Linked DNA regions of Notamacropus eugenii. The protein of the gene in region 1 purifies or fractionates together with the protein of each later gene. This does not show direct contact. Links are inferred from orthologs where the notes say so. Each region holds a gene or a part of one and is shown in the gene's direction. Other genes may lie near its edges.

Region 1 (5,352 bases):
CCTTCCTGTTCCCAAGAGATTTAACATTCTTATTTTCTGGGGTGGGCTAGGGGGGAGGGGGGCATGGACACAGGCTTCTGGCTGAAGCTCTGTATCCAGAGATAGAAAACCTGCTGACTGCAGAGGCAGCTTATTCTACTTGTAGAAAGTCCCTTCCTCATCCTTCCTCCAGAAACTTCTGATGGTTAGAAATCCTGGTTCTGCCCTCTGGGACCAAGCAAACTAGTCCACTTCCTCTTTTACGCCTTTCAGTACTGAAATATTATCTCTCCATCCACACTTGATATTTTTATACATATAGAACCTTTTCCTCTTTGTTGGATCAAAGAGCTTGTGCATTTTCAAAGGATATAAGCAGGTGGTTGTCAAGAGAAGAAATCCAGGCTATTTACTTGCTTCAAATCACTCATAATTAGAGAAATGGAACTTAAAGTAAGTCAGAGACTCTACTTCACAGTCAGATTGGCCAAACTGACAAAAAGGGAAAATGACAAATGGTGGAGGGTCTTTGGGGAAAATAGGCACACTCAGGAAGTGTTGATGGAGCTTTGAAATGGTACTGCCATTCTGGAAAGCACTGTGGAACTCGGCCCCTGAATGCACATGCTCTTTGATCCAACAAAGAAGAAAAGGTCCTATGTATATAAAAATATTTTATAGCAGTTCTTTTTGTGGTGTTAAAGACTTGGAAATTGAGGGAGTAAGCATCAACTGCGGAATGGCCAAACAAACTATGGAATATATATATTTGTTATGGCACATAAAAGGTGTGGAAACTTTAAAGCAGTGTATGAATGCTATCATGATGATGATGACATGAATGTAATAAAAAAAATACTGTGCTGTAAGAAATGAAAAGGTAGTTTGAGAAAAACCTGGGAAGATTTGTGTGAACAGATTCAGAGCAAAGGAAGCAGAACCAGAAAATTTACAGAATGACCCTACTGTAAAAAATGAACACTTTTGAAAGATGATAATTCTGATCAACAAAATGACTAACCATGACTCCAGAACACTAATGAGGAATGTTACCCATCTCCTGTTAGAGGTGATACATTCGATATTCAGGAGACAAGGTTTTCGCAGGTGGTCAATATGAGAATCCAGTTTTGCTGGATTGTGCTTAATTACAAGGGTTCTGGCTTTCCTTCTTTCTCAGGGAGGTGGGATGGAGAAAAAAATGACAGATAATTGAAAAAAATTAATTAAAACATTTTCTAAGTCTTCTCTTTTCCAGACTAGACATCCATCAAGGAGGCAAGGAACCTGTGCAGTCAGACTGTCAAACACCCTCCTTTTACAGAAGAGAAAACTGAGGCCACAGCTAATATGTGGCAGAGTCATTAATAGAACATGGACTCTTTTTTAACTTGAGAGTTCCCGGGCCAAAATCTGGCTGAGAACGGAAGGGAGGGCCCTGCGTGGAGGCACGGGCGGCATCTGGACCGGCTTCAGCTTTACCACTAGGGTTGAGTCCATGTCACGACTAAGGAAAGTGGATACAGCTAAGTATACAGACAGGCGCACATAATTGCATGTTCCCCTCCCCCCCAGGGCAGAGCCGTTCCCAATCCCTGGAGCCCTCCCGGGGAACCACCACGTGCCCAGCAGGGTCCCTGGGGACACCTCATTCCGCACCGCTGGCCCCCCACCTCTCTAGTGCGTGTGGGGGTACAGCCTGGCCCTCAGTCCCCAGGGGGTAGAATTCGAATTCTCCTCCAGACCGTCCCCCGCCTTGATAGACCCAGGCCAGGCCAGGCCAGGTCACTCCATAAGGCTGGGCCGGGATTTCGGGTTGGGGCCAGCGGGTCCGCGACCCCCCAGGGCTGGGAGAGGGCGGGGCCTCGGGGCAGCCAGTCTAAGGCCGTCCGTCCATCCCTCCGTCTTTCCGTCGGTCTGTCGGTCAGCCCCACCACAAGCAAAGCCGACCGCGGCCGCCGCTCCCCTCGCCCCGGCGTCTGCCCCACCCCCTCCCGGCCTCCCGCGCCCTCCCGCCGGGCTGGCTGGGGGAGCCCGGCCCCGCCCCTTCCATCCGCTCGGGCTCCAGCCCCGCCCCCCGCGCCAGTTGCCAGGGAGCGGTTGCCATAGAGCTGAGCAGTTGTCCGCGTGCGCAGGCGGAAGTTCCCGGATCGAGGCGCCGCCATCTTTGCTGCCCGGACGCCGAGCGAGAGGCTGACAAGAGAGTCGGAGCCGCCATCCGCTGCCATCCGTCGCGCAGACCCTGCCGGAGCCGCCGCCGCTATGGACGATCGGGAGGATCTGGTGTACCAGGCGAAACTGGCCGAGCAAGCCGAGCGATACGACGGTGAGCTGGGGAGGAGCGGCGAGCCGGAATCCCCGGCCCCGCCGCCGCCGCCGCGGCCGCCGCCGCCCACAGCGGCCAGGATCAGGAGACAAAATGGCGGCGGCCGCGGCGGCGTCTCGCAGCCCGGCCCGGGGAAGGCGGGCTCGGGGCGCGCGGCCGGGCCCTGCGGGTGAGGGGCTCTGGGGGCTCGTGCGGTTCCGCGTCGCCGCCGCCGCCCCCCCTCCGAGGCTGCGCGTGGGCATGAGACCGGGGCCACCGCGGTGGAGGGAGCTGGTTGTAAAATGGCGGCCGGGGGAGGGCGAGTCCCCGGGCGGGGGAGGGGGAGGCGGCGGCGGCCTCGGCCTCGGCCTCGCTCCCTCCCGGCCGCTCGGCCCCCGGCCAGCCCCGGCTCCCTCCCCGCCGCGTGCCGCTCGGGAAGATGGCGGGTGGGGGGCGGTGGCTCCCCGAGGCCCGAGGCGGGGCGGCGGCCGCACAAAGGAGCCGGCCGCGGGCCATCCTGCCTGGAGGCCGATCCCCGGGGGCCCCGCGGGCGGCGTGGCTGGGCCGGGAGCGCGCAGAACCGGGGCCGCCCTTTAATCCCGCCTTCCCTCCCCGAGCGAAGGCGGCCCCGGCCCGCAGCCCCCCTGGGGGCCCCGGAGGCGCCGGCTCGGGCCTAGCGGCCCCAGTCCATCTTGGTGGATGGAGGGCTGGGCCTGGCCCAAGGTTCGGCCCTGGGGTTCGGGCGGCCCGCCGTCGGTTCGAGTCGTGGCGGAAATAAATGGATTCCATCCTTTTATTTTTTTCTGCGGGGGAGCATTTTCACATTTAAAGGGGAATTTCTGCCTCGTCTCCCCGGCCCCGAGGCTGTTTCGCCCCCGGCACGTCCCTTCGGGCCGCCCCTGGTCAGCCCCCCGCGGACCGAGCCGCGGATGCCGTCCCTCCTGCATTCATTCACCCACCATCTTTTGGCCCCGTGGCCGAGCCCATCACCTCCCTTTTCTTCTCCCTCCGGAGCCCCGCCTCCCTCCTCCCCTCCCCTCCCCCTCCCCGCGGGCTCCCTTCCCCCTCCCCCTCCCCCTTTTTGTGGGGAGGAGGGGCGGGCGGTGGAACCTGGTGGATTTCTCCTCACCTTGGGCCTCGTTAATCCCGTGAATTTCCTGCGGCTCCACGGGAGAAAGTTGAGCCACGAGGACACGTTCAGCTTCTGGGTTGGGGTTTGGGGACGTGAGACAGACGTCCATAGGCTGCAGCCTCCTTCTCAGAAACTTGGAAGACTAGGGCACTTGGAAGCCCTCAAAATCCTGATTTAAAAAGCATTTCTTTGGGAGGGGAAAGGGATTGTTTCTGAGGGACTCATTTTGTTATTTAAAGTCCAAGCAGAGGGAGGCATACTGTCGTTTAATGAACATTTATTAAGCGCCTACTGTGTGTCCAGGCATTAAGTGCAGGATTGCTGCTGATTTTTTTCCCCCATTCTTTATATATTCCACATAAATTCTCAACTTGTTTCTTTTTTTCTGAGTAATATAAAATTATTAATTGATAAGTTTAAATAAGATCACCTTGAGGGACGGAAAACTTGCTTCCATGTCCCCATTCTAGTTAAGTTCTGGAATTTTTAAGATCCAGTTCAAGGTCGGAATGGGAAAAATAAGATTTTGCAAATAAATGGTAGTTAGCTGTTTAGGCCTTTTTTAAAAACTAAGGTTACTAAAGGTACTTCTGGTCAGTCACGTTGTTTCAATGCTGTACTTGCCACATCTAAGGTGGGAAAGGAGGAGGAGGCCAGTACGATTATGGGAGGTAACCAAGTTAAGAAAGGGATGAGAAGGTTTCCACCTTTGTGGATCAGTATGTGAAACTGTTAACAAATATTATAGATTTTGTCATTTGTGTGTCCCAGGCTCAGTGAAATAGCTGTTTTGGGGGGGAGGAGGAAGAGACAATCATACTTGAGGATGTTCAAGTCTTTTAACAAAATGGATGGATCCCCAAGCTCTTGGTTGCTAAGCAAATAACATTTTCCTTCTCTATGAATGGGATGAACCAGATTCTTCCATCTGCCCATCTGAACTTGATCTGGTTCTCCTCCCACTTTTCCCCTTACTCTTGCAGTGTCCCTGACAATTTATTGGAATTTCTTCGTTGAAATTCAACTGCTTAATTTTTTGTTGTTACTTTTATTCTTCAGGTCAGAGATAAAATAGAGGAACTAAGCCCTAAACCTCCCTGGGAAACAGGGCAATTTTTTGACTGCATAGGAAGCCCTAGACCAGCTCCACTTCCTGCCAGTTGTCCCTGAAGGTTAAATCAAACATCCTACCACGGTTTGAATATGTCAATATTCAAAGGTTTCCGTGGTAGGTGGTTGTGGTGCTTCTTTGGATCCTTCTTTGGATCTATTCTTTGTTAAGGAGACAAATTGCAAGGGAATATATTTAGAGTGGTGGTTTCATGTGTTTTCTGACCTTAGAAACGGGCTACAAGACATTTTTAAAAAAGACTTCTTGAAACCCTAATAATAGCCTATAAAGCAAATAAGGTTTGCATAAGACTTTCTGCCTAAGGGAATTAAAAAAACACTTTCTAAGTTTTCATTTACCTTTTCACTTTCCTTGGACTTTGGAAACATTTATACAGTGAACACCTTTCTGATGCCCTTGGTCTATTCCTTGGGCAGCCAGGTCACTGTGGGACTTGAGGGGTAGTTGGTGTGCCCTTGTTATTTTCTTTTCTCCTTCTTTGCCTGAGTATATTTAATTCTTTATCAACTAGACTAGGATTTGAGATAGTTGCTTTGACCTATGTATCTGTTGCAGAAAACTATTACCCCCAGGGATTATTTTTTTCTCTGACTGGAAGCTCTCCTTTTTGACATCAAAGCCACTTCTGACCTTCCTGAGTTTTGAATAAAGTATTAAGAAGGTTTTTTTTAGTTAGAAAAAAGAAACAAATAAGAAATGGATTCATTTTGTCTGTTTAAAAGAGAGGCTGCTATTCTGGGTGGTTAGACAAGAAATAGTAAACTCCCAATACTCTTCATGTTGCCATTTCAATTAATAGGAGAT
Region 2 (5,352 bases), on another chromosome or scaffold:
TATCTATTTAAAATGTTTTTCTTAGCCTTTAATTTTGTGATTGTTTGGACAGGGAAATAGACACTGTATGCTCTTAATCTTTTGCTAAATGAACAAGGTATGTGGGCATGTACAGTCTGACTTAGTCATTTCCCTGTTCATCAATCTCCAGTGGCTACCTATTGCCTCCAGAGTAAAATACATTTATATTTAAAATATTGTGGTATTTAAAGTTCTGCACCATCTGGTTACAACTTATCTTTCAGCCTTATTTCATTACTCCCTTTCATGTACTCTACATTCCAGTCAAACTGGTCTACTTGTAGTGTCTGCAGTCCCAAGCTTGGTTTGGGCTGCCTCACTTCTCCACTGGGAGGTTTTTGATTTCTTCAAGGCTTACTTGGCTCCCAAAGGAATTTTTCCTTGTTGTTAGCTCCCTCCCTCCTCAAATGATCTTTCATTTACTTATCTTGCCTCTGTGTATTTCCCAATAGAATGTAAACTTAAATGGTTTGTGTTGATTTTTTTTGTATTTTTGGGGGAGGGAGGGAAAGGGAGGCCCAATACTGTGCAAGTGCCTTCAGCAAATATTTTTAAAAGGTATGTTGAAATGGACTGAATGGCAATTAATATTGGTGGGTTTTAATGATTTTTGTGTAACTCCCTCCAAAAAAGAAAAGCAGTATGATTTTTAAAGTTAATTTTTAAAGTTTTAATTGTTTCCTATTCAACATAATTTATCTTTGCATCCTTCTCTTGATTCACTCCCATTGTGTGTGTTGTTGTGTTCTTCCTTCTGTTTTTTTGAAGACCATGTCATCAGAGAAATGATGACACGACTTACACTTGACTTTGTTTTGAGTGAGAGATGTGCAAAGTCCCCAACCTCACTTTTTCCTCCTGAGTCATCACTCCCATTGATGTCCTCTGCGAAGGCCTCATCTTGAGGGGTTTTGATTTCCATTGTCTATGGGTCCACTAGGACCTGGACTAGGTCAGATGCAGAATGACAAGAAAGGAAGAAGAGCTAGGAGAGTAGGAAAGTAAGTGGTTGGAGCTACAGTTGTTAATGTTGAGTGATCATACTTGAGGGTAAGGCAAGGATGGAGTAATTCTAGATATCCACTCACCTCCATTCTTAGCTTGTCTTTCATTTGTCCACTTTCTTCACTACTTCCTTACAGTTACAGACATGATCAGATCTAATGTAGTTATCAATCAGTAAGTTCTTATTGCTGTCAGTCTCTGCACTGAGCGCTGGGATTTAAAGAGGAGGGAGAGAGGGAGAGAGGGAGAGAGAGAGAGATTCAAGCACCTGCATTCAAGGAGCTGACATCCTAATGGAAAGAAAACTTAAAAATAGGAGATTAATTACAGAGAAATTCTTCTTTTCCAGTGTCCCTGCTCCTCAAGGAGACTTCACCCCTAAACATTACCAGTCTTTGAATTTCCTCAAGCTACCCTGAACCATTTGATGACTAGTAGAGCGGGACAAGGCATTTAAAATACCTAAAATATCACTTCTGTCCTCCAGATAGCAATGGGAGATGCGTTCAATTTTTACAGACACATACTTTACAATACTCAAAAGGCCCGCTTTGTAAAGATGGTTGTTGCAGTATCATAACTGTGGGAGGCACAGAGTCCTCCTTTGCTACTTCCTCTGAGTTATCACCTCTAATTTCGTGGAATTAGACAAACAAGCAGCCAAGCATGCAGCCCCACATACATCTCCCAAACCAAACTCATATTTAAGGAGAAAGAGGGAGGCTCTATCTAGGAGAAGGGGGGCGATACCAAGGATTTTTCTGTTAAAGTGAGGAATATTCCTTATGTTACAAGTATCGCATATTTCTGAAGAGTTACAAGCTTGTGGTTATACTCAGGATGTAGGATCCATCGTTGACTAAAGCTTAGACGTCCTTCTCCTTTCTTCTGTGCCTCAGGTTTTCCCCCTTAGAAGGCACTTGGTACGGTCCCGGGGGCGGGGCTGGCGGGCGTCCACGTGCCGGTCCCCCGAGGAGCTCCCATGTAGCTCGGCGGCCACCTAGTGACGAGTTGAGGGAGAGGACGTGGAAGAGGAGGGACTAGGGGCGGGACGGAAGCGGGGCGATCGCTACCAAGGCTAAAGGCGGAGGAGACTGAGACGGGGAGGAGGTGGAGGAAAGCCCTGGGCAGAGAGGAGCGAAAGGAGTTTCTGATGCCTCCTGTCTTCGAATTTATTTAAGGTAGGGGAGGTGGAAGCCTGTGCCCCGCAATGGGGGTGGGGGAAAGTCCGGCGGTGTTTCAGTCCGAGCCCCGATGGGCCCCACACAGTTTCTGGTTTGGCTCCCCTGGCAGACGCGGTAGAGCAGGGCTTTGAGGGTTGGGGAGGGGGGAGGGGGTGCTTCAAAGTGGAAAAAGCTGGCGGGCCTCAGACGAAGAAATATCTCGTCTCTTTTTCTCCTCCACCCTTGTTTTCCCTCCCCTCCACCCTTTGGCTTTTAGGGTCGTTTTGCCGTTTACAAATTCGCTGCTCCCAGCAAATCCCTGGGACTGGAGGATGCATTAGCCTTGTGCCTAAGTCCTAGGAGTGGGGTGAGGTTGCTGGAGGCAGGCGGTGCTGGTGACTTGCTACCTTCAAGAAATGAGGCTCTATTTATTGCTTGGTCGCTGCCTCCTTTCAACTCCGCGTTCCCGCCCCCGCTTTTCCTTCCCTCCTCCTTCCCTTCCCGGGTTCTCTGGGCTCACGAAAAACATATTAACCATGTCCCGCTGGGCGCTCCAACAGCCTAGTTTATACCGACCACAGTCCTGGAACTGGAAGATGGGGGGAAGGGGCTGCCACATGTGGGAGGAACCCCAAACTGTCACTTGCCTTGGTATTCCCAGCGGGGAGGCAGCTCTTTAAAGTTGTTGCAAGGGAGCTGCTTCTCCCGAAAGCTGCTCTGCCTAGTTTGAGGGACCTGGAGGTGGGTGTTGGGATGTAGCTAAGCCGTGGGTCTTCCTCGGGGTAATAACCCGCACCCTACGGAGCTGATGCTGAGTGTTGGAGAGAGCCAGGATCGCCCGAGTCAGCAGGACTGCACGTGTGGAGGCCGAGGACCCTGTAGCACCTTACAGATGGGTGCTTTCGGAAATTGACATGGCAGGAATTAGAGTAATTTACTAGTGAGGTAGCCAATGTTTCCATTTGTGTGAAATTGTCTAGCAGGATGAAAGAGTGCATTGAAGTCATGTGTTCTGCGCAGAAGTAAGAGTTAAGTCTCTGCCATGGAATATGTTAATAGTGGATTTTTGTTTGGAAGCTATGAATTGGTGGAAAAACTGCCCTGCAAAAGCATATTTTACTCCTGAAATGAAGAGCCACAGTTTTTCAAGTCACTCACGTGTGATATGGTCTCAGTAGACTCTGGTCCCTGGACTTCCTCAACTTTCTTTGTTTTTGCCGCCCTCGCCTCCCCAAGGATGTGTTTGGATTTAATAACATATCACAAAATCCTTTGTTTTCTTCTGGTGTCCAATGGAACCAGCGAATTTATTGTTTCACAATGCTAGAGGAAACCATAATAAACCATCAAAAATTTGTCATGGCGTTTAAATTTAAGGTTCTGTCTTCCATTGGTTCTGAATCTGATCTCAGAATGCACAGTAAATGTCATGTCTTCTTGGGATTTCCTCTGTATTAGATATAATCCTAATAGCCTTTCTGGGAGAACCCCAGATATTTTATTTATTAGCTTTGAAAGAATCTATCTAAATTTATTTATTTATACACAAAATACTCTTTTGCCACAGGGCAGAGTTTTAGGGATTATGTTGGAGAAAGCTGCCAGTGGCTTCATTTTCCAAGAATGTTAGTCATTTCCTTTCAGTGATTTCAGCAAGCTGATATTTCACTGCCTCAAAACTTTCTGTGGGGAAACTTTTTTTCCCCTCAGAAAGCATGGTTATTTTGAGATATATGTCTATTATTTGTTTGTTTTAAAATAGGATCATACATTTGCATTCAGTGGCAGTAAACAGTGTAGAGTTTTTCAAAATAGGACTTCTGAGAATTTTGAAGAAAATATTTTTAAATAGCCATCAAGTCCTTTTAAAGCCTTCCTAAAAGAGTGGTGAGGAAAAGGAACAGAAAAAAGACAGATGATTTGACTGTGGCCCTCATGTTTAAAATTCGGTAGAAATTTAAGCCTTTGTGGTTTGGGCAATAAAGTATAGGGCAGAATATTATAAATGTCTGTGAGAAATATGATATCTGGATGATGTCAGTATATTTTACAGATGTTAAATTCGTATTTCACATAAAAACACACCTTTGGAAAATTGACTAGACTTATGCTGACTATCTTCTCTGAGGAGACTAAACTTTTACATAACTCCCACTGTGTGCTCCAACCCTGTGAAGGAACAGTTCTATCCACTGAGCCCCCAGCTGCCTGTGGCCAAGCAGCGTACTTGTAATATGAACTGGACTTTTTTGTTTTTTTGGTGGGGGCAGGGAAGGGGATGATTAAGATCTTGCACTGATTGACCACTGGAATGTTCCAAAAAAGTTTCTGTGTGCAGGAAATATTTGTTTCTCCTCTTCTCTACCCCTTTTTTTTGGAACACTGTATTTCTTGAATTTTTCAGGGTTAAGACACTGCGGGATTGATCAGAGAAGCTTTTGGAAAAAATGCAAAATGAATAAAATAGTACAAATGAAAACATGAATTTGTCAAAGTTTAGTGTTGGTATAATTCAGATTTTCAATCTGTATTGGAGATTCTGGCTGTAGGTATTTTGTCTCCAAATTCTTTAAAATTGTTACTGAATTAATGGATTTTCTTGTAAAATATTTAAGTCAATTATGCTCTTTAGTTTTTCTAGTTTGTGGCACTTTGTTTCCAGTTTTCCTCTGCAGTGGTACTAAAGTTTTTGGCTTTCAGAATTTATGATTACGTGATAGACTTTAAGAATCATGCTGGAAATGAAAGATTTCAGATTAATCAGTCTTTTTGATAAAACTCTCAGATTTTAGTGTGAAGGAATATTATCTTTTGTGAGGCAAAGTAATTTTGAACTTGGAAGTTGCACATTTTGATATCTAAAGGAATTTTAGTATAAAATCTGCAAGCAATTATTTTACTGCATGAAATCTAATACCAAGAAGAGATTAATATATACCAGGTGGTAAAATGTATATGAACTTGAGATTTGAATGATCTCAGTGAGATTTCCCTTTGTTTGTGCATAATACCTGGAGCCCAGATGGAACATATAGAAAGCATAGTTATTTTGAGATTTTTCAAAAACCTCAAATTGGGAAGTAAGTTTCATGTTACATTTTTGTAAAGTGTATTTATGATATTGTTTGAGCTCTTTAGAAAGATGTTTTCTTTTTTTCTGCTG
Region 3 (5,352 bases), on another chromosome or scaffold:
GAGTTCTAAGAAAGACATATTTCGATTTTTTTAGCCCCCATTCTGAATATTCTTTTGAGTTGGCAAAGCAATACTGGAAGTGTAAGATAGTTCTCAACCTATCCCATCAATTGAACTGATGTTCTACTCAAACCTCAGTAGAGATGCTAGGTGAAGTACTCAGAAACTTCATTTATTTATATTTATTTGCTTGTATTCATTCATTCATTCATTCATTTATTTATTTTACTTAGGAACTTTAGGTGTGGGTGTTGGCTTCTCCTTTCAGTACCAGTCATAGATGCTTTTCCTTTTGATGTTTAATTGTGTCTTTGCTGAGTAGTGTATCACATACCCTTGACTCTCCTTGACTGACTTTCTGCATCAAGATTAGGACTGACAAGATATAGAACTGAGGTGGTCAATAAAGTGTAGATTCCTAACTTCCCTGTTACATTTATCTTGGATAGGCATTGGAGCTGGACAATTTTTGGACCAATTTTATTGGAGATAGAGAGTAGACTGGATTGCCTTTCAGAAATTATGTGGTAAAAGCTTCTTAAAAATCAATATTCTTTCAGTGATACTATATGTACAGCCCTCCCTCACTCAAAACAGTCAAGTGCAAGTCATGTCATCATTTCTCTGATAGAATAGTCTTCTTTGGCAATGAAGGATGAACACAAGACTATATGGCAGTGACCATAGAACACCTCTACCTATGAAGAATCAAAATTTTGAACAACTCAGAGAGACCCATGTTGAGGGTAAGTCAAGTTACATCCTGCATTTTGTCAACCTTGATTTGATAAATGGTATGAACTTCCTTGAGAACATGTATGACTGTAATGGATGGGAAGACCATTCTTGTGGTCAAGGAGAGGGAGTGAGTGAATAGAGTGCTGCACTGATATTCAAGAAATATTAAAAAACCTAGAAGAAGATCTCTAGTACATTGAGTAGATCCCTGATGAAGAATTTCTTCCTTCCCTTTTCCGGAGACTATTTTGAGCAGATGTACTTGGCAGAGCAAGGCTGGTCTCATGATATACCTTTTTAGCCTGAATAATTTTACTCTAGGTATGGGGAAAGGGTATCAAATAGGCATGATGGATAGTATTACAGCGATTCACTGGAGGGCTCAAGAACATTACTGCCTAGAACTCAGTTTCAAGTCACTTAAATGCCTAATCACATAGGGTAGTGATGGTGGTGATAATTTTTTTTAATTGAGGGAACTAAGGAGCTACCCCCTTCACAGGCGAACAAGCATTGGCCGGTTTTCTTCCAGAGATTAAGTCATGGAAAGGAAAGACTTTGAAGCAAGGGGCTTGAAGAGGCAGGAATGGTATTCACTGAAGGAATTCCAAGGTGTCTTAGGTCGTTTAGACAAAAGATTGATGGCATCCCTCAAACAGCTGTCTCCGCAGCTCCTTCTTGAACCGGGTTCACAGGATGCGGCCTGAGCAGACTTACAACCGCCCCTCCTGCCCTGACGGAGATACTCAATGGCGTTCAGGTAAACAAGAGAGACCAGCCTCTCCACCAGGCAAGTTTCCAGCAATCCCAGTGTGTGCCAGAGCTGACCTGGGGGAAACCACACTGGGAGGGAGGGGAAAGGCGAAGAGAGTAGGCTTCATTCTCCTGCCTCCCAGCCTAAAGTTATTTGATCGCACAGAAAGTGAGTGGGCTGCGGGGGCGAGCTGCAGGTGACCCTCACCCACCTGTAGGAAATGTGAAGGAGGAACGAGGGAGAGGAACGAGAAGCAGGGGAGGAGGGGCTCTTTGGAGAGGGGGGTAGTTTGGGTCCCAGTCCCGACGAACGCTACCCTCACCTGCCGCCAGGAGTCCCCTAGCAGGGAGGGAATCTCGGGGGGAGGAGAGAGGGGGCTGGGGCTGCGGCTGGGGCTGGGGCTTGGGGGCGGGGCGGGGGCAGAACACCTGGTGGGAGGGCGAGGAGCTCCTCTCCCAGCTTCCAGGCGGCTCGAGGAGGGTGCCGGCGAGCGTGCCCAAGGCTGGAGTCCCAGGTAGAAGGGGCTGGCTCGGGAGCCCAGCGAGGGGAGGGGGCCGGGCGAGCCGATCCCAGCTCCGAGTCTTGGAGGGGCTCCTGGCTGGGCTGCCTCCGCGGGGCGGCTGCGTTTCCGCGGCCAGGGCACCCAAGAGGGGGAAGTTTCTTGGCTGGGAAGGATGCGATTGTGTTGAGCTATTCCTGGTATGTCGGGCACTGGCCCTGCAGCCGGGAGCTCCGAGGACTCGGTTTCCAGGGGATCCGGGAAGGGAATGAGCTCCGTTCGGGGAGGGATAGGGGCCAGAGACCCCGGGAGGGAGGGGACGGGACGGGACGGGACTGGGAGGGCTCTTTCTCCGGGAGGCTCAGGCTCCCCGGGGTGGCGGGCTGCCCTCCCCCTGGGGCTTGCCCTCCGACGTGGATTTGGCATCCCACGGCTCAGACAACCTAAACCACAAGGGCTGGCACGGCCCATGCCCAGGGCACAGCCGGAGGAGTAGGCGGCGGGCGGGCCGAAGCGGCTGCTCCACATGGCCCCGGGCTTCAAAGCAGCTGCGTCGGGGCAGCCAGGGCCGGGAAGGCTGCGGTGGTTCCGGGGGAGCGCAGAGGAGGGGAGCTGCTTTTGAAGTTCAAACAGTTCTTGGGGCTGTCTCTCTCCTCCCCCTTCTCCCCTTCCCCCTCCCATCTTCCTTCTCCTCTCGGACTGCCCTGGTCCCTGCGGACCCTGGTTCGTTTTCAGGGCTTTGTAGAAAGCAGTTTCTTCAAATTCTTGTGGTTTCGGGGCATTAACAAACTCCAGAGAGCAACAAAGGGGAAAGGGGACTGGGACCATTCCAGGCAGAGTGGAGTGACAAGCCGCGCTGCCTCTTGGTCCCCAGTCCCAGAGCAGCCTCGTTAAGTTGTGCTGACCCCCCTCCCCAATCCCGCCCCTCCTCGCCCACCCACCCATTTCTTTCTCTTTCTTTTTTTCCCTCCCCTCTTCCTCTAGTCATGGAAGGGAGAGAGGATGCGGAGTCCAACTGTGCTGTAGCATTCGCTGAAGCTCAGAGATGGGTGGAGGTGAGTGCATTCCCCCCCCCCTTTTTTTTTTACTTTCCCCCCTTCACGATCTGGTGGCTTTACAGGGGGTTCAAGGGTGACGTTTAAAACCCAAACTGCGTTATTCTTAACGACCCTTCCCTCCCTTCATCTTTGCTACATGGTGGGAGACAATCGATTCAGAAGTGGGTAGTTAGCGGGTAAACTTTTAACAGTTCGAGTCTCTGTCTGTTTTTTAGCTCCCTCTTCCCCTGCAAGTCTCTCTTTCTATTCTTTAAATTATTCTTAAGGTGCAGAGTGAAATAGGTGGTAGTTTGTCCATCACCGTATCAGGTGTCCAGATCCATGCGGACTGTACCAGGATCAGTTGTCTCCCTTGATCCTATCTGGGTCACAATCCAGAGGATGTAATGGTCTGGTGGAATCTCTGCACTAAACCAAAAGGGAGGAAAGAGAAAAATATATTCCTTTTGTTCATATATGACTAAGATGCTGTAAACATCAACCGAACCAGGTTTGTCTCTGTATGTGTGTCTGTGTGGAAGGGAGTGGGGCATGGGACTGAAGCGGCGAAGGGACTTGAAGGGACAGAGAATGGATGAGTAAATACTAAGGCAGTAAACTTGCCTATGAGATTTAGGAGAGGATCTCTAGGGGAGTTTTAATTCTCACTGATGAAGGCTGCTACCGTATTCCTGGGCTTCTAGTACAGCATAGGAGTTCTCTGCTTTCACTGTGCCTTAGAAACACCATCTTCTTGTAGTTTTCTATTCCCTAATTTCCTTTTTTAAAGAAATGTGAGCTCCTTGAGATTTTTCTCTCTGTGCCTTTACATCTACGCTTTGGGTTGAGTTTGTCCCTAAATAGGTTTTCAGGATGATTCCTGGAAGCTTATGGAGAAAGAACACTGGTGGGGAAAAAGTTTTCTCAGTAAGTGTGCTAGACTAGCATACACACACACATAATGTATATTATATACATATATTCACAAAAATGGCTTATTGGAACATTGTCTTGCACATTGGTACTCTTAGCATTTGGAACCAATGTTTATACTTTCTTAGTTTATTGAAAGATGGTTTTTTTTGGAATGAATTTTTGAAGACTATACCACACAAAATGCAATTTTTTAAAGAATGTAAGTTTTAGCAGGTAAAAAAACAAGTAATAGATTAATTTCTTTTTCCTCACAGGTTTATTTACTAAGCATCTCTTTGGACAGACATTTTGATCCCTTAGCTTGAAGATGAATTTTTTTCCATATTTTTAAAAAAAGCATGTAGAAGGCTTGAGTAGGCTAAGAAAATAATATAGAGACTCTTTAATTGAAATGAGAATAAAGGACCTCCCTCCCCCATTTGCTTAAAAGAAAATAACTTTTCTCTGTTTGGCTATATTTTTAAGTATGTACTGCAAAAGTAAATTTGCATGTATCATTTTTTTTGAGACATTGTCCTGGACATCTTAGAAGAGGAAGTGTGTGTGTGTGTGTGTGTGTGTGTGTGTGTGTGTGTGTGTGTGTAGGAGATCAGAAAGAATGGGGTATTTTTGCTGTTGTTTATATTGGACATTTTACAGTTTCTAAAAGAGTATTCATGGTATTTGTATGTGGGACTTCATGCTTCTCTTTTCTTTAGAATAATTATAAATATGTTTGACTTCCACAAGTGTGTGTGTGTGTGTGTGTGTGTGTGTGTGTGTGTGTTCTGGTTTCTTTGAACTAAAAGTTCAGTAAGTATTGCAACTTTCCCATGAACTTAATGAAACCTATATTTTAGGATCTTCCATGAAATAATCCCAATGAAGGAATGTGTATTTGTGTTGTATAATTATGTTAAGTATATAAACTTTTCCTCTCCTCTTTCCTCCAAGTTAAAGATCTTCAATGATTTTGAAATTTCCAATAAAAATATTTTTAAGTGTAAGATTATGATTTTGGAGGAAAATTACTGTGCTAGAAACTAGATAACTAATTTTTTCAAAGGATGTATCAATTTAATATAACTAGCCAATATAATTAAAAATAAATGATTCTTTTAAAATACCAGCAGCTATACAAAGGGAGAAGTGTTGTTTGTGTGAATATTTTTACTTCTAGAAAATGATAGAAAATATTTACTGTTCAGATTTTCCAATCTTAAATTTGTAACCTTATCTTTGTGGTTATCATGTTAAGGAAAATTTAAGACAAATTTTAATATCTTTTATTCTCTTAAAAAAAAGAATGAATATAGAATGAATATACAAGAATAGCTTGGATTCTTTCATGGTATCAACTCCTTTCTGACTAAACTAGAACCTTATAAATAATAAGCCATAGATAAAAC

What was found.
Region 2: the proteins of YWHAE (region 1) and FRMD6 purify together in Homo sapiens (co-immunoprecipitation; 3 studies listed by BioGRID and IntAct, with this or other methods). This does not show direct contact. The link is inferred for Notamacropus eugenii from reciprocal best matches to the Homo sapiens genes YWHAE and FRMD6.
Region 3: the proteins of YWHAE (region 1) and LMO7 purify together in Homo sapiens (affinity purification with mass spectrometry; 3 studies listed by BioGRID and IntAct, with this or other methods). This does not show direct contact. The link is inferred for Notamacropus eugenii from reciprocal best matches to the Homo sapiens genes YWHAE and LMO7.

What each region holds. Positions count from the first base shown.
Region 1 is NC_092873.1:39,407,284-39,412,635, reverse strand, and holds the start of YWHAE (14-3-3 protein epsilon), read left to right. Parts: upstream 1-1,901; 5' UTR 1,902-2,241; coding exon 2,242-2,305; intron 2,306-5,352. UniProt on the Homo sapiens protein: Adapter protein implicated in the regulation of a large spectrum of both general and specialized signaling pathways. Binds to a large number of partners, usually by recognition of a phosphoserine or phosphothreonine motif.
Region 2 is NC_092872.1:326,792,338-326,797,689, reverse strand, and holds the start of FRMD6 (FERM domain-containing protein 6), read left to right. Parts: upstream 1-2,034; 5' UTR 2,035-2,207; intron 2,208-5,352.
Region 3 is NC_092877.1:261,780,789-261,786,140, reverse strand, and holds the start of LMO7 (LIM domain only protein 7), read left to right. Parts: upstream 1-1,925; 5' UTR 1,926-2,006; intron 2,007-2,013; exon of another isoform or gene 2,014-2,191; intron 2,192-2,975; 5' UTR 2,976-2,977; coding exon 2,978-3,046; intron 3,047-5,352.